Medicago truncatula: one gene and its partner. The protein of the gene in region 2 binds, or shares a complex with, the protein of the main gene of each other region. Links are inferred from orthologs where the notes say so. Each region holds a gene or a part of one and is shown on either strand. Other genes may lie near its edges.

Region 1 (7,446 bases), on a different chromosome or scaffold from region 2:
TTTTTTATATACGGACAAATTGAGTCCTGATAATAAGAGCACAGTAATACTTATAAACGCACAGTAATGTTATTTACTAGAAGGAAAAAAACCATAACTATTGACAGAGCAGAGTTGTGATAAGTATCTAAGCACATGGAGAACCCAAACTTAAAAACTAACTATCAAGGGGGAAGAACCAGGCAACTTAATTACTCCACTGAACATGTTAGATGGGGGACTTGGGCACCCTATAATTTTCAAGTACCTAACATAGCACTGCCATTGAGAGCCGATGTCTCGGCGACTGGCATTCTACGACGCTTTACTCAGCCAATTCCAATCAGCCCCTCCGCAGGTAGTCCTTTCCGAGCCACCGACAACCAGTTCTAATTACAATTGATAAGTATCTAAATACTTAGAAAATCCGCCCTTAAATACTTAGAACCAAACCACTTAAATACTCCACTGGGCACCCCATAATATCCAAGTCCCTATCAAGTTGATTATCAACTAAGCAATAGGGATCTCACAATTCATACCTAGTAGACTTTCATGTGTATAGGAGTATGTCTTAGATGGACAACTTATTCTCATGCCCTTCTCTAATTGCTTAAACTTCTATGCGTAGGATCTAGAGGTTGTTTGGCAAACAATACTAAATACAGTTGAATGATCATAGAATCATAAAAAGGAAGATAAAAGGATAGATAACAAGACGACTCAAATAAAATAAAAACAAAGACATGACAAACAAATATTAATTTCAAAGTCAATACTTTGCTTTATCTGATCCTCCCTCATTCTCATTGCTAAAGGATCCCTTCGGATGCGAACATCAGTCCCCATCATTACACGATACTCTCGGTCAGTTTGGTTGGAAAACATTTCAATTAGTTGAGTAGTTTCATCTTCACCAGTCTCTTCGAAATGCTTCTGAATAGCTTCATGAGATGTGTCTCTCTTCCATGCCTTTACCCATTCGGAATAGTACGCAATTGGACCAATCCTTTCCAGTTTCTCTTGCTCAGCCTCAAGCCTGCAAAAATTGGAAATTTTCAACATTTTCCTAGTAAATTTTTTCAGGTAACTCTCCTTATAACAAATTCCCATGACATATTGTGGTAAACTTTATCAGGTTACTCTCCTTAATCCATGATGTTAATCACATCAAGTAATTTACTCATTCTTCAAGAAACTACTGTTCAACCTTTCTATTGAGTTTCTTGTTTGCAGTACTTCTTATTTCTTATATGTTCTGCATTAAGATTCACTACAGAAAACGCCAGTTTCATTTCTATTCTAATCAGAACTATGTTGTGAGCATAAAAGTCCGCAATACCTTTCTTCCTTATAAAGATGGCGCCTGGCTCGGTAAAGAGCAGTTTCTGTTAATGTTGGTTCTTCACCATAAAGCTTTACTTGCCCAGTTTCTGCCATGGCTTTCAGGAAAACCTGAAAATATTATAGAGAAATTCAGACACAAGGTGTAAGACTGCACAAAACCGGTAAATGCATACACAGACACAAGCACACACATTGTAATTACAGCATCAAAAAACTTTTCCAAGACAATTTAATGCACACTAACCGTTTCAGTGTCAGGTCTCCTCCTTTGCCATCTGGACCATTGTTCTTTCTCCGGCTTTCTCCAATTCCACCACAGTTCCTCACTCGTAAGTGTTCCTTCTATCGGCTTTTTAATTTTCGGATCAATAAATGGATGAGGAGCTCCAAATTTCTTATCAAGTTTGTACTCAGTCTCTTCTTCCTCAGGCTCAGACTGATAAACAACATAGTCGGACGTGAACTCCTCAGAATCTTCTTGAGGTTCAACCAAAACCTCAGGAAGACCAGGGTCATCCAATTCAACATTCCCCTCAACGTTACCCTCAGAGGAAGAACCAGAAACCGAAGTTCTATAACTCTTCCTCCTACTACCAGGGTTACTACCATATGACGGAGAACCTAACGATTCTCCCATCGGAGTAGGCGCCCTAGCAGCCCTGACTTGCTCAACAGTTCCTTCAGGCCAATACTCAACTTCAGGAATACTTGCTCTAGCACCCGAGGCCGGCTCAAGCTGACCAGAGGTGGAGTCCATGTAACTATAATAAGGTGGACGTTCAACTGTCACATAATCAATAACTTCATCTTTATTTTCTTCATCTTTCTTTATTTCATCATTCTTTTCACATCTTATGCAACTATATGAAGGTAACTTCTTTCTTGATTTTCTGAAACCAACTCTACATGGTAAATTGCCAACACCCACCAAGTACGTTGATGTCTACATGGTCGCAAGCATTTTACACTATAAATTAGCTCCATATTACATGTTATAAAGTAATACAACATAGGGTCGGTTTGGCAAGCACGATAAGCTAACTTGTAGCTGCTAGCTTATAAGCTCGTATGACTAAAAAAGACTTGTTTGGTAACTATCATTTTCTCACGAGGTAATCTTAATTGAAAAAAAAAAAAAACTTAATATTAATTGAACATTTCTTTTTTATTTCATATTTACAAGCTAGTTCAGCGGCCAACTTTACCAAACATTATAAATTCAATCAGCTACCTTATCCGCTATCAGCTAACTTATCAACCATCCATTATGGCTCTGTTTGGCAAAAAAAAAAAAAAAAAAAAAACAGCGCATAGTTGATAAGCTAACTTATAATGGATGAACTTATACCGGATAAGCTAACTGATTGAATATGTAGTGCTTAGTCAAATTAGTTGTTGAAGTAGCTTGTAAATATGAAATGACATAAAAACTATATGTTTAATTAATATTTAAAACTTTGAAAGAAAAAGTAATAAGCTATAAGCTAATTGAATTAACTTAACAAAATAAGATATTAGCTAGTAAAAATGTTAAAAAAACGAGTCTTTTTTTTTTTCTTTCTAGCAAACAGAAGCATAATGAAACAAGATATATAACTTTAAAGGAAAATAAGTGATAAAATATGTAATTCTTGAGTTTATTCAATTCTAAAATTGATTTTTTTATATATATGGTATGAATTAATGAAATGTAAAGTGGGTTTAAGAAAGAGTATTGAAGAAACCCAGACGGTAAATAATTAAAGTTTGGAAGATGCTAACCTGAAAATGGTTGAAGGACAAGTTGGGTAGAAGATTGGCTTGAATTAAAGACATAACGGTGCCGTTTTGCAGAAGTTCAAACGTCGTCCGGAGAGGGAGAAGAACTCAGAAGCTCGCTCAACTCATCTGTTCTACCTCTATTGCTACACTACCTCCCTTATCATTTTCCATTTTTCTCTATTTCCTTTTTTAAAATGCTTAATATGTTTTAATTAATGTCTAAATGTTTGAATAAATTTTAGTGTGTTTGATTCTAAGGTAACTAAAATTGATTTTGAATAAATTCATTCTCACATGTTTGATTGTTTTTTTTTAATTTTGCTTGAATATATTTATAGTTCAAATTTAAATGAAAGAGAAGAAATTATTTTATGGGTTTAAATCTAGTTGAAGAAGAAAATATTAATCTATCTACTAACATTTATAACAAAAATAATCTCTTCATTTTAGTTTATAAGTTTTGTACACAAATTAAAAAATTATTTAATTGATGATGTGCATTTTAATAAAATACTCTTGACGATCATTAATTTTTTCTCACAAAACTATCATTAATACTTATATTCCATTGTTTTAAAACAAAAATAAAACGTTAAAACTAACATTTAAAAAGAAGGCTCTTGTTTCCTTAAAAAAAAAAAAAAAATCTTGCTACAACATTAAAACTTTAAGGAAGAGTCTTTCTCCATTTGGATTTCCACAAAGTTGAAAGAATCAGTTTCAATAATTGCGCACAAATGATTCCAAATTATAAAAAATACACTTCTAATTTTTTTTAAATCAAATAATCTAGCCACCATATGCTCACGGGACACATTTAATATATATTTTTTACTCGCACACATATAATAATTAAAAAATAAAAGTTCGATTGTTAAATACACATAACCGTGTCCCGTGAGCTCTGCTCGGTTGGTAGGGACAAATGCATTTTATATGCAGGGGTCGGGGTTCGAACCCCGGACACCCCACTCCTCCACATTTAAAATGTGTGAGCTCCAGCCACTAGGCTACCTGACCAAAAAAAAAAAAAAATACACATAACCGTTTTTATCGTTGTTTCAGTTATTAGGCCTTAGACTTGCCACCTGTGAATCTGAGGAGGATGGTCACATTCACTTCCACCTTTCTCTTCCTTCTCTTATCTCCTCTCATTTCATGTCTCTTGATTTTATCAACCAATCTTCAAACAATTAATCTGTAATTACAAATAAATCCATGTAATGGCATCCATGAAGCTGGGATCAAAGCCTGAAGCTTTTCGTCGTGAAGGTCAAACATGGTCAGCACTCATTTCTCTATATCAACATTGATCCTTATATTATTATATATAATATGTGACATTAACAATGTGTGTAATTTTGTTGTTGTTTTTGTTAATGTTCCCTATCTCAAAATAGAACCTTAAATTTCATTTGATTTTTTTGGATAGTGAGAATAGGTTTCTCAATTGTATCTACAAATTCCCTTACTTATTGGATAATTGACCATGATCTTATCTTGTTTTTTAATTTAAGGGTTTGTACAACAGGACTTCCAAGTGATGTTACTATTGAAGTTGGCGAAATTTCTTTTCTCCTCCACAAGGTACTTTTTTATTTAACTTTAAAACTTATTGCACACTTTTTCTTATAAATCCACTCACATAGTACCTCATACCACCCTAAAATAAGTGAAATATTGTTCTTAATGTAACATTAGTTAATTTATTTCAATATTATCCTTAAGTTAATTATTAGAACAACAATTAGTAACTAATTATTAAAGAAAACTTAAATCGGAAACAATTGAACATGATCGTTTGTTTATGTAGTTCGACCAATTGTGCCTACCTTTGTGACTAAATTTGTATATTACTTGAGTGAATTAGAGTTAATAACTAGTAACAAATGATTAAAGAAAACTTAAAATTGGAAACAATGGAATGTGGTCGTTTGTCGGTTCGGCCAATTGTGCCTACCTCTGCGACTGTAATTTCGTATATTACTTGAGTGAATTAGTGTTTACAGTGTTACAAGCCATATATATAGTACTACGGTTCATATTACAACAATACCCATGAACCATATCGGAGGGAGCTACGCTAGCTCAACTCCCCCGCCCCTTGCCCCTCCTATGTGTCTATGTATGAGCCATATTCAATATTAATATTATGTACATCATCAAATTTTGTGTGAGACCCAATGAATCAGTGGACGCGATTTTTAATATATCGAGACTCGTTCAAATTGCAACAAAAGTACAAAAATACAGTGAAATGTGTGTTAGAGAGTGTTTTTCAAAATTTCTATTATTTATAATTAAATTTTTGTCTTTGTTGGTCTATGCAGCATGTTAAATTAAAGTATATAATTCATGTTGGTGATTAGTTTTTTTCAACATTTGTGATTTTGATGCAGTTTCCATTACTTTCTAGAAGTGGACTACTAAAGAAACTAATTGCAGAGTCCACAAGTGAGGATGGATCAAGTAGTATTTTGCAACTTCATGATGTTCCTGGTGGAGCCAAAACATTTGAGCTCATAACAAAATTTTGCTATGGTGTGAAATTAGAAATCACAGCATTGAATGTAGTTAGTCTAAGATGTGCAGCAGAGCATCTCCAAATGACTGAAAACTATGGTGCAGACAATCTTATTGGTTACACAGAATCTTTTCTAAATGAAGTTTTCAGCAATTGGCCAGACTCCATCAAAGCGCTCGAGACATGCGAGGAAGTGCAAAACTTTGCAGAAGATCTCCATATTTTTTCTAGATGCATTGATTCCTTGGCTATGAAGGCTTGTTCGGATCCAGATTTGTTCAATTGGCAAGTGACAGGCCGTAATGACGCGAAAAATCAAGAGGAACATGAGTTGTTGAATGGAATGTCTTGTGAGAGTAAACCACAGTCTGTTGGTGATAATTGGTGGTTTTATGATGTGTCTTTGTTGAGCCTACCATTATATAAAAGATTGATTTTGGCTATTGAATCAAAAGGAATGAAATCGGAGACTATTGCTGCATCTCTTATATATTACCTTAGGCGGTTTCTTCCCTTGATGAATAGACAATCAAGTTTCAAAGATACAAATCATGCAACAATCCCTACAACTTCTGAAGCTGATCAAAGGGGTTTACTAGAAGAAATTGTGGAGTTGATTCCTAATAAGAGAGGTGTCACATCCTCTAAGCATCTCCTTCGGTTGCTCCGAACCGCAATGATATTACGTGCAAGTCCATCATGCAAAGAGAATTTAGAGAAAAGGGTAGGAGCTCAACTAGATCAGGCTTCACTTGTGGATCTTCTCATTCCAAATATGGGATACTCGGTCGAGACGCTTTATGATATAGATTGTATTCAGAGGATTCTGGACCATTTTATGTCTATCTACCAGCCTGCATCTTTATCTGCTTCTCCATGTATAACTGAAATTGGAACATTAATTGCTGGGGTTGATACGTTGACACCGATGACAATGGTCGCTAACTTGGTAGATGGATATCTTGCCGAAGTCGCTTCAGATGCTAATCTAAACCTGTCTAAATTTCAGGCACTTGCTGTTGCAATTCCTGATTATGCCAGACCCCTTGACGACGGTATATACCACGCAATAGATGTATACCTTAAGGTTAGATCATCTTGTATACCTTCCTTTGCCAATTCCATTTTTCATATGCACTCCTTTTCTATGCTTCAAGATTGTAAGATGTTTTGGCATAGTAGAAAATTTATGAAGAACTAAGATTGTGGAGGAAATAGTGAGATTTGTGATGATTTCAATGTTGATGAATTAATGAGTAAAAAAATTGTCCCTAAATAAAAATCATAGATTAAATTTCTATGTACATTTTCTTTCCTCAAAATTCTAATTACTGCTACTAAGTGTTGAGAGATGAGAAATAAGAGTTGAAGATGTCATATACAAGATGATATTTTGGAAACATCTATACACAAAATCGACATATTAAATATACTACTACTTTGTTTAATATATGTAAAAATCACAAAACATGGTTATAACAAGAAAAAGAGGTAGCAGAATAAACTAACAAGGTCTATTTGGTGAATGAACCTTTCACAAATTTAGTACCATGAAATCACAATCATGTGCTAATTAAACTTTACTATTGTTTTCTTTTGTTCCTAAATATTTCAAAATGTAACGAAAAACTTCAGGCACATACATGGCTGACAGATTCGGAACGGGAACAACTATGCAGACTAATGAATTGCCAAAAGCTATCATTGGAAGGAAGCAGTCATGCAGCACAAAATGAAAGATTGCCTCTAAGAGTAATTGTTCAAGTCCTATTTTTCGAACAACTTAGACTTCGCACATCGATATCCGGTTGGTTCTTTGTATCTGAAAATCTCGA
Region 2 (7,695 bases):
ATCACAAACACATAATCGTACATCAGATGATCTATATTTGGATCCACAAAACGAAGTTCGATCGGGAACCGGAAGCGATAAGGATCTCGCTTTGCCTACAAAGTAAAAATGTGAATGAGTTAATAAGTAGAGTAAACATTCATTACAAGAAAACCACTTATGGCCAAACAAGGATATAATTGAACTATGTATATATTATAGAATCAGTAATATAGCCTTGTGTGTCCTACCAAAATTGCCTATAAAAAAATGCAAAAAAGCTTAAAGTAAGGATACACAAGAAACAATTTCAGTCACACGCAACCAATGACATGGTTAAATGGTGAATTATAGTGGAAAGTTGAAACAAGGGTAGACCTTTCTTAGTACCAAAAATGGATGAATAAAAGAAAGAGGCATCAAACACCGAGGCCAGAGGTTAAACATATCGCCCCCTTCCCTTTGGAATGGGGTGAGCAATAAACTGGAAAATTGGATACCTGATGTGGGGATACCAACAGAAACTAAGGACAGTGCTTCTGATGGGTAAGTGGGAGCTTGCCCCAGTTGTTGCACACAAGAGAGAGAAAATTCACCTTGTATAATACAATTTGAGCTAGAGTTCCTATTTCAAAACGTGAACATAACAACATGAAGAAAAATGCAGCACCAACTAGTTTCCTATCGATGGGTAAAAAAACTACAATTTGGCAGGTAACAGTACAGTTAAAGGCACCATCACTGTATTATCAAGTATATAAGGTAAGTATTAAGTGACAAGTATGGAATATTCTCAACTAGTGACCGAAATACTCACCGTAATTTCAACAATGACTGTCATACCCACTTTTATGTGATGGCGAATCCAAAACCAATCATTGTTCTTTATAGGAACCCACCTAGAACACGTTACAGTAGATGAATATTCCAGAAGAAAACTTGCATAAAAGTAAAAGCTAAAACAGTGGCACTGAACAAGATAACAATGGTACAGAAGTAAAGTCTATAAGTTACTCGTGATAACAGTATGAAGTACTGCTGGTACACAGCAGCAGCAAACAAAAGAAAATATGCAATAACCCATGGCAGCATATAAAGAGAAAACAATGTCTCCTAGTCAAAGATCAAAGAAAGAGAAAACAATCTCAGTGTTGAATAATTTTCAGTAAACTGGGCTACCACATGATACAAAAGAGACAGTATGATTTCCCTGTAGCTCTAGTCTGTAAACAACCAGTACTTTTTTTTCTAACAAAAAAATGCATCCAAAGTCTAGAGATTTAACAAGTCTCAGGTGTGTTTCTCTAGGTACTTGTTTTGTTTCTGCCATGGCTTTGGATATAATGAAGCATTTCAGTGCTGGTACAAATGCTTGTGAAGATGCTTTTCCCAATTTATTTTTGCACCACATGATATTGATTAAACATTCTAAAGTTATAGATATAGTTATTAATTTAGCAAGAATATCATTGTGGAAGCAACTCAATATTACTTACTCCAGCATCCAAAACAATGAGGAAATGAACACCCAATACAGAAAAAGTTAAGGGAACACTTAAAAGATGGACAGAGGGATTGGTATGTACCCATCGTATACTCCGCCAATGTCAACAAATGCCCCTTGATAGAGATGCAAAGTTGTCACCTTCCCCACACAAATCTGCAATGAAAAATTATCATGTAAGCATTTATGAAAACTTGAATCTCAATCCTACATATTTATTTATTAAAAATTATGATACAGAAAAAGACTGATTTTAACTATACGAATGAAATGAAGCCAAACAAAAATAGGATCATCTATTGGACTACATATACAGTTGTCCAATTAGAGACATCATGATTGATCAAACCAAAAAGAAAGAAAAAAGGAAAAAAAAAACTGTGACAACGTGATGCTGCCATTAAAGGGTAAATTCAGTTATTCATAGTTTTCTTAAACAAAATTTCCAGTCAGCAATTTAAAAATGTAATATGCACGTTGTCATAACTGAAAAGATCACTGTACATGCCTATTGAAGACTAGCCTAGTCCCACCATATGAAATCAGTTTCTTCCAAGCAGCAGAAAATGATAGAATGCAATGCTTGCCCGTGCGTATAAAATTATAATAGCAGTAATTCGAAACAACCAGGTGAATATGAAAACACACTAATACCATAGGAAATCTTAAGAACACGATACTGATAAAAAGTAAAGCATCGACTTTATAGACAACAACAATACAATATAATCCATAATGAGTATGAACTAAGAATTGTGAAATAGCTTACTTGGCCAGGATAATAGAACGGTAGCTCGTACTGCAAAAACCATTTAAAAAAACAGTTAGCCCCAGAACAAGTTTGCTTTCTCACATTCCAAATACATACAAACATAAAAAAAGAATCGTGAATTCATCATATCCTACCATGCCATCCTTGTAATCCTTGCCTCTTTTCCTCCTACCAGGGTGATAATCTTGGTCTAACTGTAGCATTCACATCACAATTAGCATTAGCAATTAGCAATCAACATAAACCAAATCAAAAAACTATGAATGCACATTGTAATAATTTAAACAAGTATGAAATGAAATTGAAGAAACCTTATAGGATTCCTCTTCCAATAAATCCTTATTAGCTTCCAACCATTCATTGTACTGTTTCAAAAACACCTTATACCTATCCAAACACACATCATCAGTTTCAGTTCTAACACCATTTTCAATATCCTCCAACCTCACCCTCTTTGCCTCCATCTTATGCGCTTCACGAATAAACGCGAGCTCTTCACGATCCACCTCCCACCCTCTCGGCGGCCAATCCCTCGGCGGCACCAACTTCACCACCAACGGTCCTGCCCACTTAGTCTCCAACTCCTCCGGAACATCTTCCTTAATCTCAAATTGCTTCGCCAAATATTCCTCTTCTGTCACTCCCATTTCCTCAATCTTCTTCTTCCTATACCTAGGGTTCAACATTCTAAAAGCTTCAATCGACTCCGGTGAACTGAGAGGAACTTCTTCACCTTCGTTGAGACTCGTCCGCGCGAATTTGGCTTCAGGAGTGAGAATCTCTTCCCATGGAGCCCAGCCACGTTCGATCCAGTTGCGTCGTCGTGCTTCGTCTTCGGATTCTTTGGTTTTAGGGCCGAAGGTTTGGAGGAAGGTTTCGTCGACGGGGAATTCATCGGAGGTGAAGGATTTAGCAACGGTGGTGAGGGGTGGTTTGCGGTGGAGTAGAGGTGGTGGATGGCCGTGAAATAAAGGAGAGGGTTTAAGGTTTAAGGGTTTAGGGAAAGTGAAGAGATAAGAATTGGGGAAGACTTGCATTGCTACACTTCACCACCTTGCTTCACAAAACTAACATTGAGCGGATAGATAAAGTTCAAACATTTAATGAGGCAACTGCCCTTGCCTAATATAAATATGTAAGAGATAACTACATGCTCCATTTGTTAAATTTTCGATATTCATCATTTAGTTTTTAATGGAGCGATGAACCAGTCTTTTATGTCATTCATTTGTAATAAGTTGATCATTTAAGTTTTTTCGTACCATTTAGATCTTTAAATTATTTAATTTTAACAATTTAATAAAATTTTGATTGTAGAAAAGTAAGTTATTTGGTGTTTAAAAGTTACGATTAAATAATTTAAAAGATCTAAAATGTGTGAAAAAACGTAAAGACTAACTTGCTACAATTAAATAACTAAAAGATGTAAGTGGTACAAAAAAAGACTTAAAAACCCAACTTGTTATAATTAAATAACTTAAAGAATCTCTAGTGTACTTTAGCTTTCAATTTAATCATCTCACACATACGTCTCGATTATAAAAAAATTAACTTTTTTGATTCATTTAATAACTAATTTATAATTTTAATGATTGCCCCTAGAGTGCTCTTTGAGACCTTTAAATAGTAACTTTGTTCAAAAATTTAATCGATGCATTGAAAATTGAAATATTTGATTTTTTTTGTGAATATTTTTTTCTTTTGAAATCCCTAAAGAGCGCCAATACATTACTACTCCCTCCGGTCCTATTTATAAGAGAATTTTGGGTCAACAAAAGTTGATGTATCTTGTTAAAAATTCAGTCCAAATACATTCACTTTTGTTGACCTAAATTTCTCTTATAAATAGGACCGGAGGTAGTATTAGAGACTAATACATTAGTTATTGAACGAATCTAATTTTTTTGTCATGTAAGCACAACTCAGTTGGTAGCTACAAAGACAATATTATGCAGGGGCCAAGGTTCACCAAACTCTCTACTTCTTCACCTTTAAAAAGTGTGAGCTCCGACCACTAGGCTACTTAACAAAAAAAATAATAACTTTTTCTTATAATTGAGATTGGAACGGGTATTCAAAAAACGTAAGAATAGTTTTAAGTATTCTTATCAAGTATTAGTATTGCATTGTAAAATAGATCATTCATTTGAGATAATTTTTTTACAAATATGTCACTCGTAGTGGGTCGGAAAGCGTAATTAATACAAATATGTGTGATGTGCTAAATTAATTTTTTTGGTCATGCTATTTTGAAAATCTCAAAAACCTCTTGAATGGTGAGCACAGTTTTTGTGTGTTAAGCATCCGATTTTTAGGAAAAGGAGACTCAAGTTCTTCCAAATGATTTATCTTAAATAAAGCTCATTAACCAATCATGTGAACACAATTTAAATAAATTTGATTTTACTCTATTTTATTTTTCATTTATGACATAGATAAACACAAGCAATGGTTTTTTTTAAGGATCCACTAAATAAAATAAATCTTGAGTTGACATCCTCTCGATCTTAAAATAAATGGACAATTTTAATTTCAAAACTACTTAATTTGCTTCAAAATTATATGAATGGACAACATTTATTTTATGAAATAGAGAGATTCCAACAATCCTACTAATGCATCTCGTGTCAACATTTATTGACAATGAATGAAGAAAAATAAATTTACAATAAATAATTAGGCGCCACAACTCAAGAATTATCCTCTATATGTAACTATTCTCCATCCCATTTTAACCCAAACTTTTGTTTATTTTACACATATTAAGAAAAAGTGTATAAGTATTAGTACATTCCTTCTTACCATAAATGTAAAGTATAATATATTAAATTGAGAATGATAAAAGTAGTATTAATTAAATTTATAATTGGTAAAATGTAATTATTATTGTTTTGAAAAGTAAAATGAATCAATTTTTCTGGAACAATATTTTTTTGCGAATGATTAACTTATGACGGGACGGAGGAAGTACCGATTAATGACAATTTCGATGTCTAAAGTTCAATAGCTACCACAAGTGACATATAATCTGACCACTTAATCATTTGGTCAAAAGTTTGATTCGGATGTCCAAAGGATACTTCGTTTACCAAAACAAAAACAAAAGAAGAACTAACTTCTAATAGACTTAAATCCATCTTTGACCTTCTAACTACACATGTTTTTTTTTTTTTTTTATAAAACTCGGTATACGATCCAAAAATCGCTATTATCTTGATGGATCTAAGTCAAATTTGCATTCAAAGAATCTAACAAAACAAAATATGATGGTTCCACGTTTTCTACTTCAATCCATCCCCAAATCAGTAACGTTGAACCTCGTATTATTCCAAACAGGAATATCAGTTTGTCCTACGGCGCCAAATTAAGTAGCTCATGTGCTATTTCATATAATGTGATTCTTTTTTAATGAGAAGATACACTTTTTTTTTTTGTTGTTGAAGGAATGAGAAGATACACTTATACATTGAAGTTTGGATGCTACATCTACAAATTTTGCCGGATTAGTATATGTTTGAGAATAATGGGGAGACTACCAAATTGGAAAAGGGGAGAGTTTGGACACTAAAATCACATTGAAAAGAAATACGGAACTAAAGCCATACAATCGTGATATTTAGAGGACCAAAATGAACTTAAGCCCTTCTAATAATACTGCAAAGGTTTGTATCCATTTGCCATCTGCATTTTGAAATAATTTATCTTTCACTAATATGATACAAAATACGTGAGGTTATAAGTAGCCAGGGGAATAGGGAATGCAATCAATTAATGAAACATTAACTCCTAAATGATTATAAATGGAAAAATATCATCCTTATGATACAGATAATAACAAACTAGCAAAGAATAACCATCTATGCAAAGGAAATGATTCCTCTTCCTCTGGCAAATTTGACAGAGACTAACATTCCATGATGATGTTTAGCAAAAACTACAAGTGGGGACATCATCATCATGGCATGCTAACCAAATGAGAATTTAGCTTTATTTGTGTACCATTTTCAAGATTAGAATTTAGCTTCATTTGTGTAGGTTTTCATTAACATTTTTCAGCCAAATGCCAAGTTAAAAGACAACGTCAGAAAAATTGGGAGCAAGGACTGCAGAGTGAGCACATTATCTTCAATCAAATCCTTGACCGTAAACTTTAACATCATGGATGTCAACATATGGAACTTGGCAACAAAGAGGGATAAACTTTATCTAATCATTATACCAAAATCAAAGATCACCAGCTCCCACCGGAATCTCTGAGAATAATCTTGGCCTTAGTAACAAAGTTCCAAACTATGGAACCTGAAATCTTATACCTTGACAGTAAGTAGTTTGTGGTTCCCACACCAGGTTTCCAAGCATAGTAATGTTGACTTTTGTAGTCATTCTCACACCTAAGCCGCAATTTTTTTCTAGCCAAATTTATATCACATTCCAGCATACTTGTAGAGCAAAACAAAATCTTTGAAACACAGAAACAAAGCATGTAAATCTCAATAACTCATGAAATTCCCCTGCTATCCATCATATTTGAATTTAGTATTGATTTATGCTCATTGCCCAAATGAATTCGCTCATTTCCAAAGTAAATGATCAAAATGCTCCTACGCATGTTAACATGCGCTGGTACAAATTATAACATAACTTAAGATAAGTAGCGTGACTTAACATGCGCTAGTGTTATTTGTGAGTTATTTGTTGAATGCTTAGCGCAAGTTAACATGCACTAGTGTATTGTGAAACGTGAGTTAACTCACGTTGCCATTTGCACTAGCGTGAGCAGTGGCGGAGCTAGGAAATTTATGGAGTCCGGGAAAAAAATTAATCGTAAATTCACATGTGACATAATATATAAACAGTCATAAATCAAAAAAAAATTATTTTTTATTTTTTTTCCTAAAAAAAATCGAAAAAAAGAGGTTTATCATTTTGTCAACAAAAGTGCAATTTAAAATAGGGTTATTAATTGAAATTGACCACGTAATATACTTGAACTCTGAAAATTGACCCTGTAATTAAATAACATGTATTCTGACCATGTAATTCGAGATTTTTATTATTTATAACCTGTAATATACGTGAAGTCCAAAAAAGCAACCGAGAGATTGAATTTTTTCATGATTTCCTAGAGGCGAGTTAAGAACGTTAAAATATGGCTTTAACAAAAAAATTATAAATTTTCGACAAACGACAAATTAATTATGAATTTTTAAAGTGTCAAAAGCTCAAAAAACAAAACAACAGAAATCTCGATCTATAAATCAAATTTTGAGCTCATTATTTGCAAAGACATCTATAAAAATACATAAAAAGGATATGTAAAGTTTCATAGCATTTCGAAGTCGTTTAAATTTATTTTGATTTTTCAACTGAAACGTGCAAAATTGAAATTTTGTTCCGCGTAAGCGTGTACTCAGAAGCAAATTTAGTTCCCTAATTTTGT

What was found.
Region 1: protein PLASTID TRANSCRIPTIONALLY ACTIVE 10 (region 2) and protein PLASTID TRANSCRIPTIONALLY ACTIVE 12, chloroplastic share a complex: the UniProt entries of both Arabidopsis thaliana proteins name them as parts of the transcriptionally active chromosome (TAC) complex. The link is inferred for Medicago truncatula from reciprocal best matches to the Arabidopsis thaliana genes PDE312 and PTAC12.

What each region holds. Positions count from the first base shown.
Region 1 is NC_053043.1:5,999,254-6,006,699, forward strand, and holds the start of protein PLASTID TRANSCRIPTIONALLY ACTIVE 12, chloroplastic, read right to left. Parts: upstream 3,274-7,446; 5' UTR 3,142-3,273; coding exon 3,088-3,141; intron 2,270-3,087; coding exon 1,571-2,269; intron 1,435-1,570; coding exon 1,322-1,434; intron 1,019-1,321; coding exon 759-1,018; intron 1-758. Other genes in the region: BTB/POZ domain-containing protein At5g03250, read left to right, coding at 4,311-4,369, 4,605-4,674, 5,487-6,698, 7,247-7,446. UniProt on the Arabidopsis thaliana protein: Involved in plastid gene expression. Acidic transcriptional coactivator necessary for the transactivation of many PIFs target genes (class B genes), particularly during the regulation of hypocotyl growth.
Region 2 is NC_053044.1:37,563,798-37,571,492, forward strand, and holds the start of protein PLASTID TRANSCRIPTIONALLY ACTIVE 10, read right to left. Parts: upstream 3,362-7,695; 5' UTR 3,293-3,361; coding exon 2,567-3,292; intron 2,450-2,566; coding exon 2,390-2,449; intron 2,283-2,389; coding exon 2,253-2,282; intron 1,640-2,252; coding exon 1,566-1,639; intron 879-1,565; coding exon 797-878; intron 96-796; coding exon 22-95; intron 1-21.